Stegostoma tigrinum: one gene and its partners. The protein of the gene in region 1 purifies or fractionates together with the protein of each later gene. This does not show direct contact. Links are inferred from orthologs where the notes say so. Each region holds a gene or a part of one and is shown on either strand. Other genes may lie near its edges.

Region 1 (7,596 bases):
TTTATGCATAAAGACTTTTTATAACCATAATACCGAAATCTCAAAACTATTTGTAACCTCAGAGCTTAACTAAATTATCATTTATATATAAACTCAGTATATAATCTATATGCCAGTTCACGATCTTAAAAGCTTGATTTGTAAGTCATCATGATAAGCTGAATTGAATATTTTATACACTCTAGATATCTAAGCTGGATTGCATGCACAAGGTAAAAAAAGGACTCATAAACTACAAACTAGTGCAGCAGAGAAGAAGGCCATTGAGAACAATGAGATCAGCATTACTTTTAAAAGAAAATCCAATCAGTAAAATTCACCCATTCTTTCTTCATAGGACTGCAATTTGTCTCCATCAGTTGTTTGTCCAAATCCTTTGTTGAAGATGGCTAGTGTATCTGTTTCCAGTGTCTGATGAGCCAAATTCTGATAATTCCAAATCCTAACAACTCATTGAATAAAGATAGATTTTCCTCATTGTCTCAAATCAATCACCTGAAATCCCTGGTTGTCACATCTTGGAATTTCTCTCTCTGTCTATTTATTCTGTTTGAACATTATATGATCTGAAACACCTTGATCACAACTCAGGTAAACCTTCTCTAATCTGATAGTCTCTCTAGTTTCTCTAGTCAGTCTAAATGACTGCAATCCCTCAACACTAGAACTATTCTAGTAAATCTCTGCGTCCTTTCTAAATCTTTAACAAACCTCTTTAAGTACAGAGCCTAGAATTTGACAAAGAATTCCATTTGGTATTGAATTAGTGCTTTATGTAGGTTTAGAATCACTTCCTGGAGTGCTATTCCATACTTTTGTCATGAAACCCAGTCCTGCTTTGGTACAGCACTTCCCGTAACTTTATCACTTCACAAGCACTTTAGTACTTTTGATATACAGTAAATGTTGCAATGTATGAAACTGGATGAATAACAAATACCTATAAATAGCAATTTGATAAGAGTCAGAGAATCAGCTTAGTGATGTTTCTTGGGAAGAAATATTATCTGGGCCACCAAGGAAACTGCCCTACACCCCATTGAATTACGTTTCACATTTTTAAATTCAGGAATGAGAGGATGATACTTTAGTTTAACATCTGATCTGAAAGGTGTCACCTCCAATTGGGAGATGGATGAACAAGATTCCAGCATTAGCACTGAGGTGGATTTAGCTGTAAAAGAAGCTTCAAAGATGGGAGAGGTGATTTTGGGAATGGATTTGAAACAATGATAAAGATTTTTACATTTGAAGTATTGGTGGACAGGTAACTGATGTAATTTAATTAGAATGGGCTTTGGCATGGGATAGGATGTGAGCATCAGAAATTTGAATGCGCTGAAGTTTGCAAATAGCAGATGATGGATAACTGGCCAAAGGAACATTAGAATTGTTGGATCTGTTGTATAAAGGTAATGGCTCTGAAAGAGTTAATGTTACATTGACTCCACTATTCTACAGCTGTCATACACACACCTTGTACATTATTCTAGCTTTTGGAGGGACCAGATACATCTCTATCAGATCACTAAGGTCTTAATAATTATACATGGCAAAAAACAGTTGCACTTTGTACGATAATGCAGTAAACCTTCCTGTTATTTAAAAATAGATCTCTGTTTTAGATAACCTATAGTGGTGGATCCTCAACCATTTATAACTAGACAGACTGAATACAAAACAAAGACAAAGGGGAATGGTATATCTGTCAGTGAACTATCAAACAACTCTTACCCAGTACCACATACTGGCAGAAGTAGCAGATACCAGGATTGTTCAACAGGGAATACCACAGGATCCAAAGGGTGCAAAGGCTTTGATGAAGGTTTGACCAGTAAATGTCCAAAGGCAAGAATGTATTGGAGGTGGGAGGAAGTGATGATTATAATGGAGGGAATGAAAATCAGGTTCAATAGAACATACCCACAGGTGCAAACAGCTGCTTCCAGTGGCTGGAGCTGTTTGAATGATGGAATCACTGCATTTGATCTTGGAATGGGATGTCATAAAGAAAATAGCTGCAGTCTTACCAATATTTAGTTGGAAGAAATAAAGCTTAGATTTTGGAGATGCAGTCTTTTAATAGCAATGAATGTTTCACAGGACCATGTTCCCATGTTTATAGATGATGGTACCTGGGACCACTATTGAAGGGAGATGTTGTTTTCCCAATGTATCAAAGACTGCTGATTTTGGACACCCATCCCTAGATCATAGAATCTCTACAGTGCAGATGGAATCCATTCAGCCCATCCAGCCCGCACTGACACTCAGTACAGCACCCCACCCTAATCTTGTGACCCTGCAACCCCAAATTAACCATGGCTAATCCACCTAGCCTGCACACTCCTGGACACTACCAGACAATTTAGCATGGCCAAACCAGCTAACTTGCACATATTTGGAACTTGGGAGGTAACTGGAGCACCTGGCACAAACATGGGGAGAATGTGTCACTCCACACAGTTACCCAAGGCTGGAATTGAAGCCGGGCACCGGGTGCTGTGAGGCAGCAGTGCTAATCACTAAGCCACCACGCCAAAAATCTGAGAAAGTGGAAGATGTTAGATGTATGCTCCTGGGAGAACTGGATTACATGGACAAGAATGGTTGCAGGTTAGCTAGCTCAGTTGGCCAGAGGCTGGTTTGTGAGGCAGAGTAACACCAACAGCATGGATTCAGTTCCCATGCTGGTTGAGGTTACCATGAGGGACTCTCCTACTCAACATTTTCCCTTGTCTAAGGCGTGGTAACCCATCGCCAGTTGTCTCTTTCTCGAAAAAGAATACTGTGGGACCTTTATACTGTAGTTCAAGGCAAATAGCCGTGTGAAGTTTAGTTTGGCCCCCGGTCTTTGCCACATGAGTGCATATCCATAGACGGATTCCTATTGTTAACAGTAGTTAAATCCCTATGAAGTTTGCTGGATTTCCTCTTTTCGAAACACCGGCGCGGTATTTCGGTGATTAATACTGCTGCCTCGCAGCGCCAGGAACCCGGGTTCGATTTCCCCTCCTCCGGTGACTGTGTGGCTCTCTCCGGGTGCTCCGGTTTCCGCCCACAGTCCAAAGATGTGCAGGCCAGGTGGATTGGCCACACTAAATTGCCCATAGTGTTCAGCGGTGTGTAGATAGGTGGGTTTATAGGGGGATGGGTCTGTGTGGGATGCTCTGAACTTGTTGGGCCGAAGGGCCTATTTCCACACCAGAGGGATTCTATGATAAATCTCGCAAGTAACTCGAGCAAATTTCCAAGATAATAAAATGTGAGGCTGGATGAACACAGCAGGCCAAGCAGCATCTCATTGTCCCCATGTCCGACACTTTGCTTCCCTTCCTAAGAAACAGACTTCACTGCACTGTTACCCTGTTTGGAAAACATTTTCCCATTACAATGCAAGTATCAGTTGAACTTTCGTCACTAATTTGCCGGAGTTTGTCTCGCCCTTCCTATGCCAGCACAAGAATGCCCTGCATCCGTGCATTAACACTCGATCTCCTCTCACACATTCTCTCCCTCTCGCTGGCTTGTCGATGTTCGCCTCTTGCCTCCCACAGCGGGTCTTGCCCAAGCCTTGCTGCTCGCTATGATTCACTGCGAAGTCATGTATGCATTCCCTATTTTCCGCTGTAGCTGGGAACTTGGCGTTCTGTGCACTGAAAAGCGGCAGCTCTTCAAGTCAGAGCTCCCTTTACAGCCCAGAGGAACTGGCGGTCTGCCACAAGGACCAGCGATCACTACCTACTTTCACGTTACTATCTTCCTTCCGCAGGGTAATAGTAATAGAGAGCTGCAGCAGATTTGCTGAAATCCTCCAGTTTGGGAAGCTATGTCTGGTGACAAAACCGGGGATTTTGAGGTAAGGAAGAGTCGCGCCCGCCTTATTACAACTAAATGAGACCACAGCTGAGGAACGGGACAATAATAATGATCTGATGCAAGATAGTAACAATATTTGGGGGGGGGGGGGGTGTTGCTGTACCGGTTTTTCATTGTGAAGAGCGTAGGCAAGGTTGCCTGTTGATTGTGAACGCACACTGCAAAATAACTGAACCTATCGTGACTTTGAAACAAAAATACTTGGCCATAAAAGAAGCTAGAAAATACACGAGGCTTTTTTTCTTAAAAGAAGTCAATTATACACGTTAGATTGTTATTCAGACTTGTAAATCAGTGGAATATAAAAAATGTCTTGTGATCTGGGGAGACAGGACAACATATGGCGATGGTCTATGCTCCTCAGAATTGTCAGGAACAGGCTATTCGGCTGTTTGTGCCTGTCTCGCCAGTATGAGGAGGTAAATCCATATTCCAATCTTATCCCTTCAGCCATCTGCCTCCAGAATTAGATCAGTCCCTGGTGGTTTATACCCAAGGACTGAGCATTCAAAGCTCTCGGGGGGCGGCAAGCTTCATTGTACTCATTCCTAAATCGCAGAATCCTTATTGTGCGTCTGCCATGCCGTCTCCCCAACTTGAACCTACCAAATCCCTCCAGCATTTTCTGTTCCTCTGGCGTTCATCGATATTCTTGTAACCATGCAAAAGTGGCAATTGACAAGAGGTAACTTATGGATGGTGTCAGTTCGATAGGATTTAACCTGTAGGATCCTTCATTAAAATGAGGGATTCACAGGAGAACTGAAGCCCATGAGAGGACATAGGCAGCGGTCTCTCTCTCTGTTTCAGAAGACGAGTACAGTTTAAAGGGCGCCACTCTACACAGACCAAGGCGAGGAACCAGTTCTCGATTAGGTACCACAGTCAGTGCGGGGATTGAACCCGCTATTCTGTCCGACACGTTAACTTCGTACTGACACTCGGGTCTTAAGGAAGCTCCCCAAACAATCCCTTTCCTGTTAAAGGGACTGATCTCCGCGGTGACTCAGTTCTCAAACTGCTGGATTTATTAATCCTGCATTTGTTCTGCAAAACAAAACAGAACAGAACTTTCGGAGGAAGGGAATCAGAGGCTGGTGGATGTTCGTATACAGGTATTGAATTCGGTACCTCTTCGAGCAGTTGTGCATTGCCCAAAGGGGATGGGGAGGGAGAGAGAGAGGGTGGGAAGGCCGGCTGTAGGAGAATTCGACGCCGTGTTCAGTTAGAGAGCGGTTTCTGGACTCGAAGTCTTACAAGATGATGTCCCAACAAAACGGGCAAGAGGTAGCCTGGATGATGGTGTCCCTGGTGCGAGATTTTCCAGAGCTGCAGTGATTCACTATAGCCCGCAACGAGAGATTTCCCAGTGAGATGCAGTGCTGGACTGATTCACTGCATTCCTGAATAAAAACAAAATCCCAGTGAATGCATTGCTAGAGACTCACTACATCCCTAAATTGGAGAGATTTCCTAGATGGTGCAGTACTGCAGTGTGTCACTTTATCCCTCAGTTGGAAGACATTTGAGGGGGTGCATTACTGGAATGACTCCCTTTTATCCCTAAGTTGGAGTGATCTCCCAGAGGGTGTATAACTGGAATGACTCACTTGTATCCCTGGCAGTGAGGGAGATTTCCCAGTGGGTCAGTACTGTAGTGACTCACTGTATCCAGGCGAGCCCCCGTGCTGCCCCCTGCTGCCAGATGGAAATGGTTTTGCTGCCGCCAGCTCCGGTTTACAGGGGTGTGGTGCCGCTTTACTTTTCCACTTAAATACGATCAGGCTCCACAAAGTTCCTCTTAAGCATCAAGCAGCGACTACCTTCCGAGTTTTATGTTGGAACAACTCAAAGTCAGCTTAAACAAGGAATTGTTGTAACCCTTCCCAGGGACTTTTATACCCGTCGCCGATCAGAGACCACGGGAACATTTACAAACCCAATAATAAAATGGAAGATGAGAAGTTGAACGAGAAATACGTGACAGATGTTCACACCAAAGAGATCGATTTAATCAACAGAGATCCAAAACATCTGAACGAAGATGTGGTTAAGGTAAGGAAGAGAGACGAACTTTGTTAAAGTTGGGAATAATACAGGAATTAAAGTTAAATGTTTGTATAGAAGGTAGTCAGAGGTAACAGGTTTGCAGGGACAAGGTTATTACCCAGTACGATTCCAACTGCTCGCAGTCCTATTGACGAACCCCTGCTACCAATTATAATTTTTCCAGTTTCTCTGGGAGTCGTGTCTCCCCGTGAAGCATCGAATTTTCGACCCCCAGGGAGGATATGAATTGATGTTGAGCTACTGATGTGTTTGATAGACACCAGGGATGGATTGCTGTTGAAAGCTATCACAAAAAACATGGAATTGGCCGAGAGATGATTCATCTGTGAAATAGCCTGAGATTTCAGCGACAGACCGGAACTTGTAAACAGCGTGAAAAGTGCAGGGTCCTCCCGGTGTGTTGAAAGGACCGTGTGGATTATACTGAGTGCATAAAAGGCATTTATCAAAACTGCACCCTGCAAGCAACACCATACCCCGCTGCACTCATCACCCAACCCACTGCTCTGTAACCACTCAACCCACACCCCAGTCCACATCACCCACCTTCCCCAGGCCACTGCTGTGTACCCACTGCACCCGATTACTCTGTAACATTTCAAGCCGGTCCACTGAACCTATCCCCCGCCCGCTGATCTTTACCTACTCAAGTGACTCAACTGTCCACTCCACCCATCCTCCAACTCACTGCATTGTGTCCACTACCCCCATCCCCCAGCTCACTGTCCATTTCCCACTTCATTGTTCTGAGTCTGCTGTTCCCAGCCCACTGCTCTGTGCCCTGAGCTCCACCACTGCTCACTGCATCCAACATGAAGTCCACTGACCCCATTCCTCTGTATACTGCTCTGTGCCCATTGTGCTAATCCCCACCACTTACATTGTTCATTGCATCCATCCCTCTGCCAGTAAAATTAAGACAGACATGGCTAGGGTGAATAGTTGGAGTTTTTTTTCCCAGGATGGAAATTTCAAAATCTAAGGAGCATATGTTTAAGATGGACAGGGGGAATTTAAAGGAGACGTGCAAGGAAAGTTTTTATGCAGAGGGTGTCAGATGAGGTGGTAGAAGCAGATAATATGGCAATGTTTAAGAGGCATTTAGACAGATGCATGAACAGGCAGGGAATAGAGGAATATGGACCTTATGCAGGTAGACAGGATTAATTTAGAATGGCACCATGGTCAGCACAGACATGGTGGGCCAAAGGGCCTGTAATTGAACTGTACTGTACTGTGTTCTATGTCCTGTGTAGATGCACCCATCCACCAGTCTGGTGCACTGTGGTCACTGTACCCAGCACAAAGTCCCATGCATCCATCCTCCAGCCCACTACATTATGCTCACTGTACCCAGCATCAAGCCAAGCTCACTGTATCCAGCACTGTGTGGAGTTACCCAGCACCCAGCCTTCAACCTGCTGCATTCAACAATTAGTTCATTCCACACAGTCAAAAACTTTTATAGAAACTGACTACCTGCCAAACTCTTACTAATTCATATGTACATATTATCAAAAGAATCCAGCAAACCAAATTAGCTTATTTACCAATTTCAGTCTGATGTTGGATGGATGAGGTAACGATCACATAAAACAGATAAAAATAACCAGAGAAAAGAATAACTGGAACTTCTTTTGTATTTGT
Region 2 (7,596 bases), on another chromosome or scaffold:
AATTTAAGGAATAGAACATTGATTTTCCAAACTGAATATTCAAAATTGGCATCATGTATTCTCATAATAGCTGCAATGCAGCTTTTAACTCTCTTTTCTCCATCGTATTGATCTGCCTCAATATAAAGGGTGTTGCACCTTTACAAACTTCCTCATAATTCATGGTTCTGCACTTCCTCAGTGGTATTATCAATTTTGTGAAGAATATGTAGTTTTGTATGGTGGAATAGCAGCCTTTGGGGTGAAATTTCACCTTTATTGCTAGATAGAGAACAAAACAGTAATAGGATGCCCATTTAACATTTTGCCTTCTTTATATGCTCATTAACCTCAACAGCAGCAGAAATAGGGGTGAACAAAGAATGAATAGCACATCGGTAAGTGAAAGGCAACTCCATGAGGAACAACACTGACACTGCCCAGAATCATTGCACTTGTGGCTAACGAACAATGAAGTCTTAGCTGAATTTGAGATGAGGCAACTCTTCAAGAATGGTGTACAAATCAAATAAGCCAAATACCATCTAGTCCTACAGATTACTAACATTTGATTTGCTTAAAGAAAGGTGCCGTAATAAAATTGAATATTATTTGTATAACTCTGCTACGAATTAAAGTTTAGTTCAGTGAATAAGACATGACAATTGTCCACACTACTCAGTACACAAAATATAATTTCATATGTTCTGTCAATAACATTTTCAACAAATACTCACAAATAATTAAACACAAAAGAGCTCAGCACTTCATTAATGAAAAGTACAATCTTTAAACATGTATGTGCATAAGAAATAAATAGAAACAACATCAAACAAAATACGATGACAATCAGGACTGTTTTCTTCTTGGCCACTAAGCACATGCAACATTAAAATGTAAAAGGAAGATTTCCTTTGGTTAGTATTCCTAGCAAAATTAAAATCATGTTATTTGAGAATGTATTCATGTTTTCACGAGAAATGGTGATCAGAAGAAATCTTCCTGCTGTGGGTATGATGTCGCAATCACCCAGCAACACAGAAAATCTTAAGTCTGTAATGTTGAAACAGTCAGCCATCTGAATTCATTTGATCTCTGAACATGCCGACATATGTACACTGTCAAATGGTAAAATGCTGTAAACAGCAGTTATAAACTATTGTTCTAAACAGATTTCCTGCAAACCAAATTAAATTTATGTTAAGAACCCATGGAGTGTATAAGATGGCAATATCAAGGAAAGACCCATAAATCATGAACCAAAACACCCTTTTCCATTTATCTTTTAAGAATAAAAAGAGTGGCACTGATGCTGGTGATTCTCAATTCAGCTGTTTTGAAATTGGAAATCTATTTTTGTTAAATAAGGCAGGACATTATATCTAATGGTGTGGTCTCCCCCAGGTGGTTGCACAATCCATATCAGATATGTGGTTGTAAAACAGTCTCAGATTTCTTTTGAAAATTATCTATGAAACAAGATAGTGCTAATTAATGTTCAAGTAATTTTGTAAACTTTCTGTATATGTAAGGCAGAAGAAAACTTCAAATGTAAATATCAGAATCAGAGATCGTAAGTATTTACAAAGTTCTTGCTAACATTATGTAATTAACATCTGAAATTAACATAAAAGGCTCAAGTCTCAAGGTATGGATTGCTCATCAGCAGAGGGCTACCTGCCAATCAAAGTAATGTCATTCAGCAAAGCAGATAATACACTAATAAGCTCACAGTGAAATCATTATGGTAGCTCTTTGTTGATACTTTTCACAAAGCCAGTAATTATCTGTGCATTTAATAGCAAAACAGCTGCATTAGAATGAAAGATCTTGTATTTTTTAAATGAATGTAGATAGTACTTTGATAATTTCACAATGTCCTGTAACTCAATTTTTTTATGTTTAAAAGGGTTACAAATGAAAGAAATGGTACCCTTTTTAAAATCTTCATTTTTTGTTTACTTTTTAAGCAAAGCAAAGTTTTAAAAAGAAATGGTAAAACACTAACCTTCGATCATGTGCCTGCAGCAGTGAGCCACTCACAAGAGACAGGTGTTTTGTCCATTTGAAGACATGGGTGTTCTGAATATCGGTTCAGAATCTGGTAAAAATCCTTCCACATCACAAGATTTGTTTCAAATTGTTATAGCTTTGCGATAGTTATAAGGCAGTCCCTAACATATAATGTTGTCCAAAGTTCACTTCCTCTAAACATTTTCAAAAGATAAAAGACGAGTCATAGCAAATATCAAATCCAGAATGATTTGTCATCATCTAAAATGTGTTTCCAGTTCAAAAAAATGTGTTGGTTATCTTTTGTTGTTTCATCACTCTGTGGTATCAACTTTTATTACTTCACAGTTCATGTGTTAAACTTCAGGTACTTAATCCCAATCTTCGTCTGTTCTTAGAGAACCCAGTTTTGCAGATTTACTGTTCAGAATAAATATGCAGATTTTAAAATAGTTATTTTACAACATTAGTATAAATCAATGCATTCACTTAGGTCATTACAAATATGATCAAGTGGATCCTCTAGCGAATTCCTTTGGATTTTTGTTTACATGAGATCATTTGCAACACATTAAGTGGATGTACAATAAGCTTTGACAGCTCTACCAGCAAAGAGAGAGTCTAGTGCTTCTCCAAACATGGAAAATCAGTACAAAAAGCTGAAGTTGCTGATTTAAGTCCCCATAAATATTAAATAAACAAGGAATGCTCCAATTATCTAAATATACTGTTCAGTAATTCTCGTATGATCTGTTCGAATTTTGTCGCATGAACACTTTGAAAAAATATATTGCGAACAGAGAAGTCCCACATTGCCTAAATACAAATACGACTTTTGTCTTCCTTAAGACTCCAAGCAAACTGAATTTCCTCTCTCTCTGACGGTAGCTACATTGTAAATAAAACAAACACTGTTGCGAACTCTCATCACGACAGGCTTTGATGCGTTTGAATACATTTCCGCCTCCCACTCCTACCGCTTAATTTTATGTATATAAATATATAAATATATATGACACAAAACATGAGCAAAGTATTGCAGGAAACAAAGGGTTGGATAGTCCATGACCTTTCTTCCTCACAGGAAAACTGAGCTACTTCACACCTGCCTCAATTACAAATTCAAAAATAAACTTATGGAATTTTAAGACTTTACATTTGTTTCCAATTAATGAAAGCAAAACAAATACAAGACGGAGGCTGGAGCTGTGCACAAGTTCCAGCTGTCCTATTGTGCACCTGCAGAAAACCGGTGTCTCATCAACAACCCCAAACCCCTCCAACAGCCCACGCCCCAAAAAAATTAAGAACCAGCGCCAAAGTGTTTAGCTAAACCCCTTGGAATGTATCTGACGGTCTGATAAAGAATGATGTATAAAATTGATATTTTCTTCTCGCCTAACTAATCTAACCTGTGTGGTTTGTACAAATGCTGAGTGGTTTTTTTTTTCAGTTTGTCAACCCCAAACAAGTCTGGAGAGTTGTCATGTGGAAAGTGGCCGGGGCTACAGGTCGGTCTCTGTATTTGGATCCAGACATAGTGCGTACAGCGATTTCCTGATGTCGGGGGCACTGTTGGCCTTCAGGTGAGCCCCCGCGCCATTGTTCACCCCCTCACTGTTCTCCAAGGGTTTGCCCAGGGAGCTCCTGCTCCTCTTCAGTTCCTCTGAGTGACTGGGCTCGCTGTCCGTGTCGTCCTTCAGGTACTGAGCCTGCTCCTCGTTGTCCGTCTCCCGGTGATAGAAGTAGTTGAAGTTGGAGACGATGACGGGCACGGGCAGGGCGATGGTCAGGACGCCGGCGATGGCGCACAACGACCCCACGATCTTGCCGCCCATGGTGACCGGCTTCATGTCCCCATAGCCCACCGTGGTCATGGTGACCACCGCCCACCAGAAGGCATCGGGGATGCTGGAGAAGTGGGAGCGCGGCTCGTCCGCCTCGGCGAAGTAGACGGCGCTGGAGAAGAGGATGACCCCGATGAAGAGGAAGAAGATGAGCAGGCCCAGCTCCCTCATGCTGGCCTTGAGGGTTTGGCCCAGGATCTGGAGACCCTTGGAGTGGCGGGAGAGCTTGAAGATGCGGAAGACCCGCACCAGGCGGATGACCCTGAGGATGGCCAGGGACATGGCCTGCTGACCATTGGTCTGCTGCTCGGCCAGCTCAGTGCCCAGGGTGATGAAGTACGGGATGATGGCCACAATGTCGATGATGTTCATGATGTCCCGGGCGAAGACCGACTTGCTGGGGCAGGCCAGGAAGCGGACCAGCAGCTCCAGGGTGAACCAGACCACGCAGGTGGTCTCGATGATGAAGAAGGGGTCACTGAGGCTACTGTTGTCCCCAGTCCCGGGGCTCTGGGCGCTGGTGTTGAGCGGAGAGTTGCTGGCACTGTCGCGGTCATCGCGGAACTCGGGTAAGGTTTCCAGGCAGAAGATGATGATGGAGATGACAATGACCAGCACCGAGACAATGGCGATACCCCGGGCAGGGCTGGAACTCTCCGGGTACTCGAAAAGGAGCCACATCTGCTTCTGGAACTCATTGCGAGGCAAAGGCTTCTCCTCTTCCTTGATGAAGCCCTCATCCTCACGGAACCTCTCCATGGCCTCGGGTCCCAGCTTGTAGAAGCGGATCTCGTCGGCGAACATGTCGATGGAGACATTGACGGGTCTGCGGATCCTGCCGCCCGACTGGTAGAAGTACAGGATGCCGTCGAAGCACGGCCGGTTGCGGTCGAAGAAATACTCGTTCTTCAGCGGGTCGAAGTACCTGATTCTTTTCTCGGGGTCTCCAAGTAGGCTGTCCGGGAACTGGCTCAAGGTGCTCAGCTGGGTCTCGTACCGGAGCCCGGCGATGTTGATCACCACCCGCTCCGAGCGGTTGACTTCCAGCAGTTGCTGCTGTTGCAGGTTGTCCACCGGCGGCGCCTGGTCCACGGCTTTCAGCGGCCCCGCCGCGTTCATCTCGCCCGGAGCCGGGGGGTCCAGGTAGCCCTTGGCCGCCGGGCCAGCAGCGCTCACACCCAGGGGCGCTAAGATTCCGCCTCCTCCTCCTCCTCCTCCTCCACCAGCACCACCTCCACCTCTCTGGCAGCTCCCCAGAGCGGCGCCACCGTCCTGCAACCTCACCAGAGCTATGTCCATCCCCGAGCCATTAAATATTCAACACATTCCACATCTAGCGAGAACTGATCAGTCAGCGGAGCGCTGGGAGACACACACACACACACACACACACACAAAGAGACAGAGACAGAGATCAACAGTCCCCACCCCAGAGCAAGGCACAGAGATACATCAAGGCATTGGATACAGCAGCGGAACCCGGATGAGCAACAAATAAATCATGATTGCAGCTCTCTCTCCCTCTGACGTCGAATGCCTGAAAATGAGCAGCAGAATTTATCACCCACCGCTCTGACCCCCCCACCCCGACCCTGGGCGCTGCTGCCTCAGACTTAACCCCTCCACTAAGCCCAGTCCACACTCCTGTACCTCCCCGCCCCGGTCCCTTCCCGTTCCCAGATACAAGCCCGATCGCCAACCACAATCATTTAAACATCAACCCTTCTCTCACTTTTAAACGATTTCACTATACAAACAGGTAGAATGTTAAACGACTGTTTTTTAAAGAGAAAGGAACCAACATTTGAATGTTATTTTATTTACCCTATGTGGTGATTCAAGTGCTTTGTACAGTTGGGTCAGGGAGGTTTTGTGGCGTGGTGAGTGCTGTCTTTTGAGTCAGGAGCTTGGGTTCAAGTCCCACTCCAGGACATGGTCAGTTTCAAAAATACAGGTCTCTTTACGGGTCTACCAGAACCGTTCCGGAATTAAGAGCTGGGTTCTGGTCCGCTGGGTGGTTGACCTCGGGTCACGGAGTTTGTCCAGAATGGAAAGGTGAAAACTGGTGTTTGTGGATTTATCATAAATTTCTGAACACATTTTGCCATCTAGTTCAACATATGAATGTAGGTCTGTTGAATAACTTGATGGGCAGTGAAGGTGTCACGGCTAACCAGGCTGTTTATCACTTTCTGGTAGCCTATGGCAGTGGTGAGAGAGCCTCTTGGGTCAGCCATGTTTCATGTCCGGTTCCTCCATCTATAGCCTCCAGTGAGAGGTTAACCACAGAATCATGTGTAAGCACATTTACTTTTTCTGCCTCATCTCACCTAAGCATATGAGGAGGCAGGTGGGACTAGCTTAGTTTGGGATTATGTTCAGCGTGGACTGGTCGGACTGAAACGTTTGTGCTGTACAGCTGCATGACTCAATGACATAGTGATGATTTAATTCGGTCAGCGATTGAGAGAGCAGATGGACTTAACTGTATGGTGCTGTTTCTTTCTGGAACATATGGGTGTGATCCAGTGGTAAATAAATTGATAGCCGTCAAACTAAAACTAATGCAAAGTAATCATGATCCCAACTGATTGATGCCCTCCCCATGAGTGTGACAGCTTGCACAGTGCACAATCTGTAAGGCATCACATTTATGCTGAGGCATGGTTTTGCTTCAGGTTTTGAAAGCAAATTCCTGCTTAGATCTCTTCCTAAGCAAAGATTCTTCAAATAGAGGCTGAACACGAATCACCTCATGAGTTTTAGGAATGCAAACTATGAAATTTTAAGAATATTTGACCAGAAAGGGTGCATAATTTAATAGTTCATAAAATAACACACTAACATAACTGAAACTAGTTTCCAGGAGATTGAAAACTAATATATGCCACCACCACTTAAAATGCTGAACGGCATGAGGACTATTCATGCTAATAAATTGTATGTACTAAAAATTGAACAATCGATTCATAAAATCATGCTCTCAGAAAAGACCCTCAGCACTACAAAGTCAAGTATATTTTTGTGTTTTTTTTAAGGCTCACTTCTTATTCCTATCTGCATGTAAGCATATTACTTTATTGATTCTTTTCACATCAAGTAACCAATAATATCACTCATTTGTTCACTCAAGAAAGAAGTTCAAATTGCCCCTTTTAAAACATTAATTTGGTCTGCGAGAAAGGATTCCACACAGAGGAATCCTGTCTAAAATAACTTTGTTGCAACCAACTGAGAAGATAGATAAATAAAGACAGGGAGCGAGTTCATCCTATCTCTCTTGGCAGCTTAATGATTTTGGGTATCCATCCAGAACCGTAATAACTTTGGAGAACCTCACCTCCAGATTGGTTGTAGAAGTTATGCAAAATCCAAACTCTGGCATTGATTTGGTATCCAACAGGAGTTTGGGAGGAGATGGTGGCTGTAGTGCGAGAATATTTGCAGCCTACACCAATCTGTTGCTCCACATCCCAGTAAATATATGAATCGCATTGAGGGCATGTCTTTTTCTAAATGCCTTTTCCAAAAGGTTTGGAATAGCTACTGACATTGAACTTGAGCAGACTATGGTACTTCCTATGTAGATTTGTGTACACAAACTGTAACGAGAAGGTGGGTGAATTTGGAACGGGAGCCAGTTCATCCTTCTTCATGTGGGGAGTTTAGCAGATTGGAGTATCCCAACTGGAAATGAAATGAATTAGGGAATTTTGCCCAATGTCTGCTTGTCAGAGAGGTAGCTATAATAGACCAC
Region 3 (7,596 bases), on another chromosome or scaffold:
AAATAGGATGGTCTACACCTGAACCAGAGGGGTACCAATACACTGGGGGGAGGCAAATTTGCTAATGCTCTTCAGGAAGGTTTAAAATAATTCAGCAGGGGGATGGGAACCCAAATTGTAGCTCCAGAGTACAGGAGGCTGAGAGTAGTGAGGTCATGAATAAGGTTTCAAGGTCGAAGTGTACTGGCGGGCAGGAAGGTGGTTTGAAGCCATGAGCATCTAGCATAAGGAGGGTGAACTTGTCATGGGTTGGTACCTAGGACTTTGATGTTGTGGCCATTTCGAAGACATGGATAGAGCAGGACAGGAATGGTTGTTGCAGGTTCCGGGGTTTAGGTGTTTCAGTAAGATCAGGGAAGGTGGTAAAAGTCGGGGGGGGGGGGGGTGTAGCATTTGTAGTCAAGGACAGAATTATGGTGGCAGAAAGGATGTTTTATGAGGACTCGTCTACTGAGGTAGTATGGGTTGAGGTTAGAAACAAGAAAGGAGAGGTCACCCTGTTGGGAGTTTTCTATAGGCCTCCGAAAAGTTCCAGAGATGTAGTGGAAAGGATTGCTCAGATGATTCTGGATAGGAGCGAAAGTAACAGGGTAGTTGTTATGGGTGACTTTAACTTTCCAAATATTGACTGGAAATGCTATAATTCGAGTATTTTAGATGGGTCAGTTTTTGTCCAATGTGTGCAGAATGGTTTCCTGACACAGTATGTAGACAGGGAAACAAGAGGCGAGGCCACATTGGATTTGGTACTGGGTAATGAACCAGGCCAGGTGTTAGATTTGGAGGTACGTGAGCACTTTGGTGATAGTGACCACAATTATCGCCACATTTACTTTAGCGATGGAAAGGGAGAGGTATATACTGCAGGGCAAGAGTTATTGCTGGGGGCAAGATAATTATGAGGCGATTAGACAAGATTTAGGATGCATAGGATGGGGAAGGAAACTGCAGGGGCTGGGCACAATTGAAATGTGGAGCTTGTTCAAGGAACAGCTACTGCGTGTCCTTGATAAGTATGTACCTGTCAGGTACATAAAATAAAATGTCAGGCAGGAAGGAAGTGGTCGAGCAAGGGAACCATGGTTTACTCTTGTCAAGTGGAAGAAGGAGGCTTATGTAAAGATGAGACGTGAAGGATCAGTTGGGGCGCTTGAGGGTTACAAGTTAGCTAGCAAGGACTTAAAGAGAGAGCTAAGAAGATCCAGGAGGGGACATGAGAAGTCTTTGGCAGGTAGGATCAAAGAAAACCCTAAAGCTTTCTATAGGTATGTCGCGAATAAAAGAATGATTAGAGTAAGATTAGGGCCAGTCAAGGACAGTAGTGGGAAGTTGTGCATGGAGTCAGAAGAGATACGAAAGGCGCTAAATGAATATCTTTCACCAGTATTCACACAGGAAAAAGACAATGTTGTCGAGGAGAATACTGAGATACAGGATATTCGACTAGATGGAATTGAGGTTCATTAGGAGGAGGTTTTAGCAATTCTGGAAAGTGTGAACATACGAAAGTCCTCTGGCTGGATTTATAAATCCTAGGATTTATCCTAGGATTCTCTGGGAAACTAGGGAGGCGATTGCAGAGCCTTTGGCTTTGATCTTGATGTCGTCATTGTCTACTGGAATAATGCCAGAAGACTGGAAAATAGCAAATGTCCCCTTGCATTCAAATAAATATACTTCATACTGTCAGCCCACAGTATACATTAAACTGGCTATGTCTGTTATTCCTATTTGATTTAACTTATACCTTGTCCTCAGTAACTCCACATGCTGACCTATTGCTCTGGTTCCCACCTCAATGCACTCTAGTTTAAACCCTCCCACATAGTACGAGCAATCCTCCATGCAAGGTTATTGGTGCTCTTGCAGTTTAAGTGCAATCTGTCCTTCTTGTACAGGTTCTTCCTGACCTGGAAGAGATACCAATGATCCAGCTATCTGAAACCATTCCTTAAGATCAGCTGTTTAGTTAATCAACTCAATTATCTTATTTCTGGCCTCATGAGCACGTGGCACAGGGAGTAATCCTGAGATTATGACCTTAAAGATCCTGCTTTTCAACTTCCTACCTAATGCCCTAAATTTAATATGCAGGAACTCACTTCTCTTTCAATCTATGTTCTTAGTACCGATATGGACCATGACCCTGGTTGCTCACCTTCTCCCTCCGGAATGTCCAGTGGCAGCTCAGAGACATCCTTGACCTTGGCATCATGGAGTCAACACACCATATTGGTGTCTCACTCAAGGCCAAAGAAACGCCAACCTGTATCCCTGACTATAGAATCCCATCATTTCTGCTCACTTACACTTTGGCACTCCTTGTTGTACAGCAGAGTCAATCATGGTGCCACTGGTCTGGCTGCTGCTGTTGCTTTCCCTTGAGAGACCACCTGCATTCCCCTTCCCCAAAACGTATCCAAAACAATATTTCTGAAGAAGGGTCCAGACACAAAACATCAGTCTTCCTGTTCCTCTTAAGCTGCTTGGCCTGCGGTGTTCATCCAGCTCTACACCTTGTTATCTCAGATACTCCAGCATCAGCAGTCTCTATTATCTCCAAAACAATATACTTGTTTGAGAGGGGAATGCCACAGTTGACTCGTGCACTAACTGTCTATTTGGGTCACCAATCTAGCTGCCTGAACCTTCGGTGTGACCACATTTCTGAAAATCTTTCCTATAAAACTACTTCTCCAACCGATCCATTTACTCTGCGAGGAGCTGCAGGTGGACACACTATCTGCAGACATAGTTGTCATTGATTTCTCCCCAATCCCACATCTCACAGGAGGAGCACACAACTTGTAACAATTAGATTAAAATAAAATTACAGATCTTGTATTGAAATGCCTTAATATTGTTTATCATCCTCAGCAAAGCTGGATACTCAACAAATATGATTATAGTGATTGAAATGAGGTTGATCAGAGGGATCTCATTGAGTATGAATTCCCTGATTGGGGTTGTTAACCTGGGCCAATTAGGGAGTCCTGGCTAACAGATACAAACAGGAGTCCCAGGAATTTCCCTCAATCTGAGGACTGTCTCTGAGCTAGCTGGTCAGAGTGTACCGTACACGTGTGAATAAAGTGTGACTTGGTGACGGGGTACTGGCTTCTGTGGAGTTATTTCAATGATGAAGACTGGTCCTCCAACTCAGTTCTCTTTTCCCACTTTCTCAACATATCCTTGGCTCCATTTCAGCCTAAGATCTACAATGTCACTCCTTGAAAACATTCTACATTTTGGCCTCCACCGCTTCTTGTGGCAGGTAATTCCACAGGTTCACCACACACCAGGTGAAGACAATTCTCCTCAACTCAATAGGAAATGTTCCAATTCCATACCCTTACACTGACCAGGAGACAGTAGCGACTGCAGACTTTCCTGCTCCTCTGATGCTGTCTGACGTCCTCATACAGTGACCCCTGGTTCTGGACTCGCCGGTCGCTGGGAGCATCCTTTCTGCATTTACTGTGTCTAGTCCCTGTAAGAATTTTCTAGATTTCTGTCGGGTCTCCCCCCCCCCGCCATTCTTGTGGAAAACCAACAGAAACTGGCAGAGGTAAAGAAGACACCGAGATCGAAGTAGTGCGCATGCGCACAGCCGCCTCGTCAGCTCTCGGCTCCCATAATAAAAATAATAAATTGCTTTTCGGATTTTTTTTCACTGTTGTATTGCTGGGAGACATATTCTCCCGGAGGCTGGGGACGAATCGAAGACCAAAAAGACCCATGAATGGGAGCAAAGCAGCGGGAAGGCGTGCGGTAAGGGGCGGTGGATGGACAGTGAGCGCGCGGGCGGAGGGACGGTTTTCTGCCGCTCGCGCTGACCGCCCCCGGCGCTGGTTGTCGGACGGCGAGCATCATGGCCAGTCTGTACCAAAGCACCGAGTCGTCGTCTCCCAACAAATACCTGACATTAAAGGACGTGCGGGAAGTCAAGGAGGAGACCACCGTCGACGAGAAACTGTTCCTGCTGGCGTGTGAGAAAGGTAAGGCCGACCCCGGGGAACGGGGCACGACTCGTCTGTCAAACAACCGGCAGCTTCCCAACTCCTTTGCAGAACCTCCCCCCCCCCCCCGCAACGCCCCAGCACTCATCCATCCCCCCCCCCATCCCCCAGCACTCAACCAACCCCCCATCCCCCAGCACTCATCCATCCCCCACCCCCAGCACTCATCCAACGCCCCACACAACCCAGCACTCATCCAACACCCCCATCCCGCAGCACTCATCCAACCGCCCCCATCCCGCAGCACTCCTCCAACCCCCCCCCCGCACCCCCAGCACTCCTCCAACCCCCCCCGCACCCCCAGCACTCATCCAACCCCCCCCCTGCACCCCCAGCACTCATCCAACCCCCCCCCCGCACCCCCAGCACTCATCCAACACCCCCATCCCGCAGCACTCATCCAACCGCCCCCATCCCCCAGCACTCCTCCAACCCCCCCCCCCGCACCCCCAGCACTCATCCAACCCCCCCCCTGCACCCCCAGCACTCATCCAACCCCCCCCCCGCACCCCCAGCACTCATCCAACACCCCCATCCCGCAGCACTCATCCAACCGCCCCCATCCCGCAGCACTCCTCCAACCCCCCCCCCGCACCCCCAGCACTCCTCCAACCCCCCCCGCACCCCCAGCACTCATCCAACACCCCCCCCGCACCCCCAGCACTCATCCAACCCCCCCCGCACCCCCAGCACTCATCCAACCCCCCCCCTGCACCCCCAGCACTCATCCAACCCCCCCCCGCACCCCCAGCACTCATCCAACACCCCCCACCCCCCAGCACTCATCCAACACCCCCATCCCGCAGCACTCATCCAACCGCCCCCATCCCGCAGCACTCCTCCAACCCCCCCCGCACCCCCAGCACTCATCCAACACCCCCCCCGCACCCCCAGCACTCATCCAACCCCCCCCGCACCCCCAGCACTCATCCAACCCCCCCCCGCACCCCCAGAACTCATCCAACCCCCCCGCACCCCCAGAACTCATCCAACCCCCCCCGCACCCCCAGCACTCATCCAACCCCCCCAGCACTCATCCAACCCCCCCCCCGCACCCCCAGCACTCATCCAACCCCCCCCCCGCACCCCCAGCACTCATCCAACCCCCCCCCGCACCCCCAGCACTCATCCAACCCCCCCCCGCACCCCCAGCACTCATCCAACCCCCCCCACACCCCCAGCACTCATCCAACCTCCCAGCACTCATCCAACCTCCCAGCACTCATCCAACCCCCCAGCACTCATCCAACCCCCCACAGACCCCAGCACTCATCCAACCCCCCCCCCCACCTCCAGCACTCATCCAACCCCCCCCCACCTCCAGCACTCATCCAACCCCCCCGCACCCCTAGCACTCATCCAACCCCCCACAGACCCCAGCACTCATCCAACCTCCCAGCCCTCATCCAACCCCCCACAGACCCCAGCACTCATCCAACCTCCCAGCACTCATCCAACCCCCCACAGACCCCAGTACTCATCCACCTCCCCCCCCGCACCCCCAGCACTCATCCAACCCCCCACACCCCCAGCACTCATCCAACCCCCCACAGACCCCAGCACTCACACCCCCCCCCCCCCAACCCCCCGGCACTCATCCAACACCCCCCTCCCCCAGACCACACGGCACTCATCCAACACCCCCCTCCCCCAGACCACACGGCACTCATCCAACAACCCCTCCCCCAGACCACACGGCACTCATCCAACACCCCTCCCCCAGACCACCCGGCACTCATCCAACCCCGACCCGCCGGCACTCATCCAACACCCCCCCCCACCCACCGGCACTCATCCAACATCCCCCCCGCCCCGACCACCCGGCACTCATCCAACCACCCTCAACACCACCACCCCCCATCCAACCTCCCCCACCCCCCATTCAACCCCCCCCCCCCCCAGCAACCCCAGCACTCATCCAACACCCCCTCCCCCAACCCCCCGGCACTCATTCAACACCCCCCCCCCCCGGACCACCCGGCACTCCGACACCGCCCCCCAACCACCCGGCACTCATCCAACCCCCCCCCCCCCCACCCCCAGCACTCATCCAACCCCCCCCCCACCCCCAGCACTCATCCAACCCCCCCCCCCACCGCCACCCCCCATCCAACCGCCCCGCAACCCCAGCACTCATCCAACACCTCCGCAACCCCAGCACTCATCCAACACCTCCCCCCCCCAACCCCCCGGCACTCATCCAACAACCCCCCCCCCAGACCACCCGGCACTCATCCAACACCCCCCCCCCCCCAGACCCCCCGGCACTCATCCAACACGCCTCTACCCCCCGGCACTCATTCAACCCCTACTCCACCCCCTCCCCTGCACGTCTCGCCCCCCCCCCCTCCCCTGCACGTCTCGCCCCCCCCCTCCCCTGCACGTCTCGCCCCCCCCTCCCCTGCACGTCTCGCCCCCCCCCTCCCCTGCACGTCTCGCCCCCCCCCTCCCCTGCACGTCTCGCCCCCCCCTCCCCTGCACGTCTCGCCCCCCCCCCCCTCCCCTGCACGTCTCGCCCCCCCCCTCCCCTGCACGTCTCGCCCCCCCCCTCCCCTGCACGTCTCGCCCCCCCCCTCCCCTGCACGTCTCGCCCCCCCCCTCCCCTGCACGTCTCGCCCCCCCCCCCTGCACGTCTCGCCCTCCCCTCTCCTGCACGTCTCGCCCCCCCCCCTCCCCTGCACGTCTCGCCCCCCCCCCTCCCCTGCACGTCTCGCCCCCCCCCTCCCCTGCACGTCTCGCCCCCCCCCTCCCCTGCACGTCTCGCCCCCCCCCTCCCCTGCACGTCTCGCCCCCCCCCTCCCCTGCACGTCTCGCCCCCCCCCTCCCCTGCACGTCTCGCCCCCCCCCTCCCCTGCACGTCTCGCCCCCCCCCTCCCCTGCACGTCTCGCCCCCCCCTCCCCTGCACGTCTCGCTCGCCCCCCCCTCCCCTGCACGTCTCGCCCCCCCCTCCCCTGCACGTCTCGCCCCCCCCCTCCCCTGCACGTCTCGCCCCCCCCCTCCCCTGCACGTCTCGCCCCCCCCCTCCCCTGCACGTCTCGCCCCCCCCCTCCCCTGCACGTCTCGCCCCCCCCTCCCCTGCACGTCTCGCGCCCCCCCCCTCCCCTGCACGTCTCGCCCCCCCCCTCCCCTGCACGTCTCGCCCCCCCCCTCCCCTGCACGTCTCGCCCCCCCCTCCCCTGCACGTCTCGCCCCCCCCTCCCCTGCACGTCTCCTTGCCCCCCTCCCCCGCACGTCTCCCCTGCACGTCTCCCCGCCCGCACTTCCACCCCCCCCGTTCTCCTCCCTTGCACATCTTTCTCCCCCCCTTGCACATCTTCCCCCCCCCTCCCTTGCACATCTTCCCCCCCCCCTTGCACATCTTCCCCCCCCCCTTGCACATCTTCCCCCCCCCCTTGCACATCTTCCCCCCCCCCCTGCACATCTTCCCCCCCCCCCTTGCACATCTTCCCCCCCCCCTTGCACATCTTCCCCCCCCCCTTGCACATCTTCCCCCCCCCCTTGCACATCTTCCCCCCCCTCCCTTGCACATCTTCCCCCTCCCTTGCACATCTTCCCCCTCCCTTGCACATCTTCCCC

Evidence for each region.
Region 2: the proteins of cav1 (region 1) and potassium voltage-gated channel subfamily A member 5-like purify together in Homo sapiens (affinity purification with western blotting, with the first as the bait; 3 studies listed by BioGRID). This does not show direct contact. The link is inferred for Stegostoma tigrinum from reciprocal best matches to the Homo sapiens genes CAV1 and KCNA5.
Region 3: the proteins of cav1 (region 1) and trpc1 purify together in Homo sapiens (affinity purification with western blotting; 3 studies listed by BioGRID and IntAct, with this or other methods). This does not show direct contact. The link is inferred for Stegostoma tigrinum from reciprocal best matches to the Homo sapiens genes CAV1 and TRPC1.

What each region holds. Positions count from the first base shown.
Region 1 is NC_081371.1:34,144,496-34,152,091, forward strand, and holds the start of cav1 (caveolin-1), read left to right. Parts: upstream 1-3,511; 5' UTR 3,512-3,829; coding exon 3,830-3,859; intron 3,860-4,753; exon of another isoform or gene 4,754-4,994; intron 4,995-5,769; coding exon 5,770-5,934; intron 5,935-7,596. UniProt on the Homo sapiens protein: May act as a scaffolding protein within caveolar membranes. Forms a stable heterooligomeric complex with CAV2 that targets to lipid rafts and drives caveolae formation. Mediates the recruitment of CAVIN proteins (CAVIN1/2/3/4) to the caveolae.
Region 2 is NC_081378.1:40,106,887-40,114,482, reverse strand, and holds the start of potassium voltage-gated channel subfamily A member 5-like, read right to left. Parts: upstream 5,016-7,596; 5' UTR 4,959-5,015; coding exon 3,498-4,958; 3' UTR 1,988-3,497; intron 1-1,987. UniProt on the Homo sapiens protein: Voltage-gated potassium channel that mediates transmembrane potassium transport in excitable membranes. Forms tetrameric potassium-selective channels through which potassium ions pass in accordance with their electrochemical gradient.
Region 3 is NC_081367.1:73,191,329-73,198,924, reverse strand, and holds the start of trpc1 (short transient receptor potential channel 1), read left to right. Parts: upstream 1-3,422; 5' UTR 3,423-3,871; coding exon 3,872-3,998; intron 3,999-7,596. UniProt on the Homo sapiens protein: Forms a receptor-activated non-selective calcium permeant cation channel. Forms a heteromeric ion channel with TRPC4 or TRPC5 that has reduced calcium permeability compared to the homomeric TRPC4 or TRPC5 channel.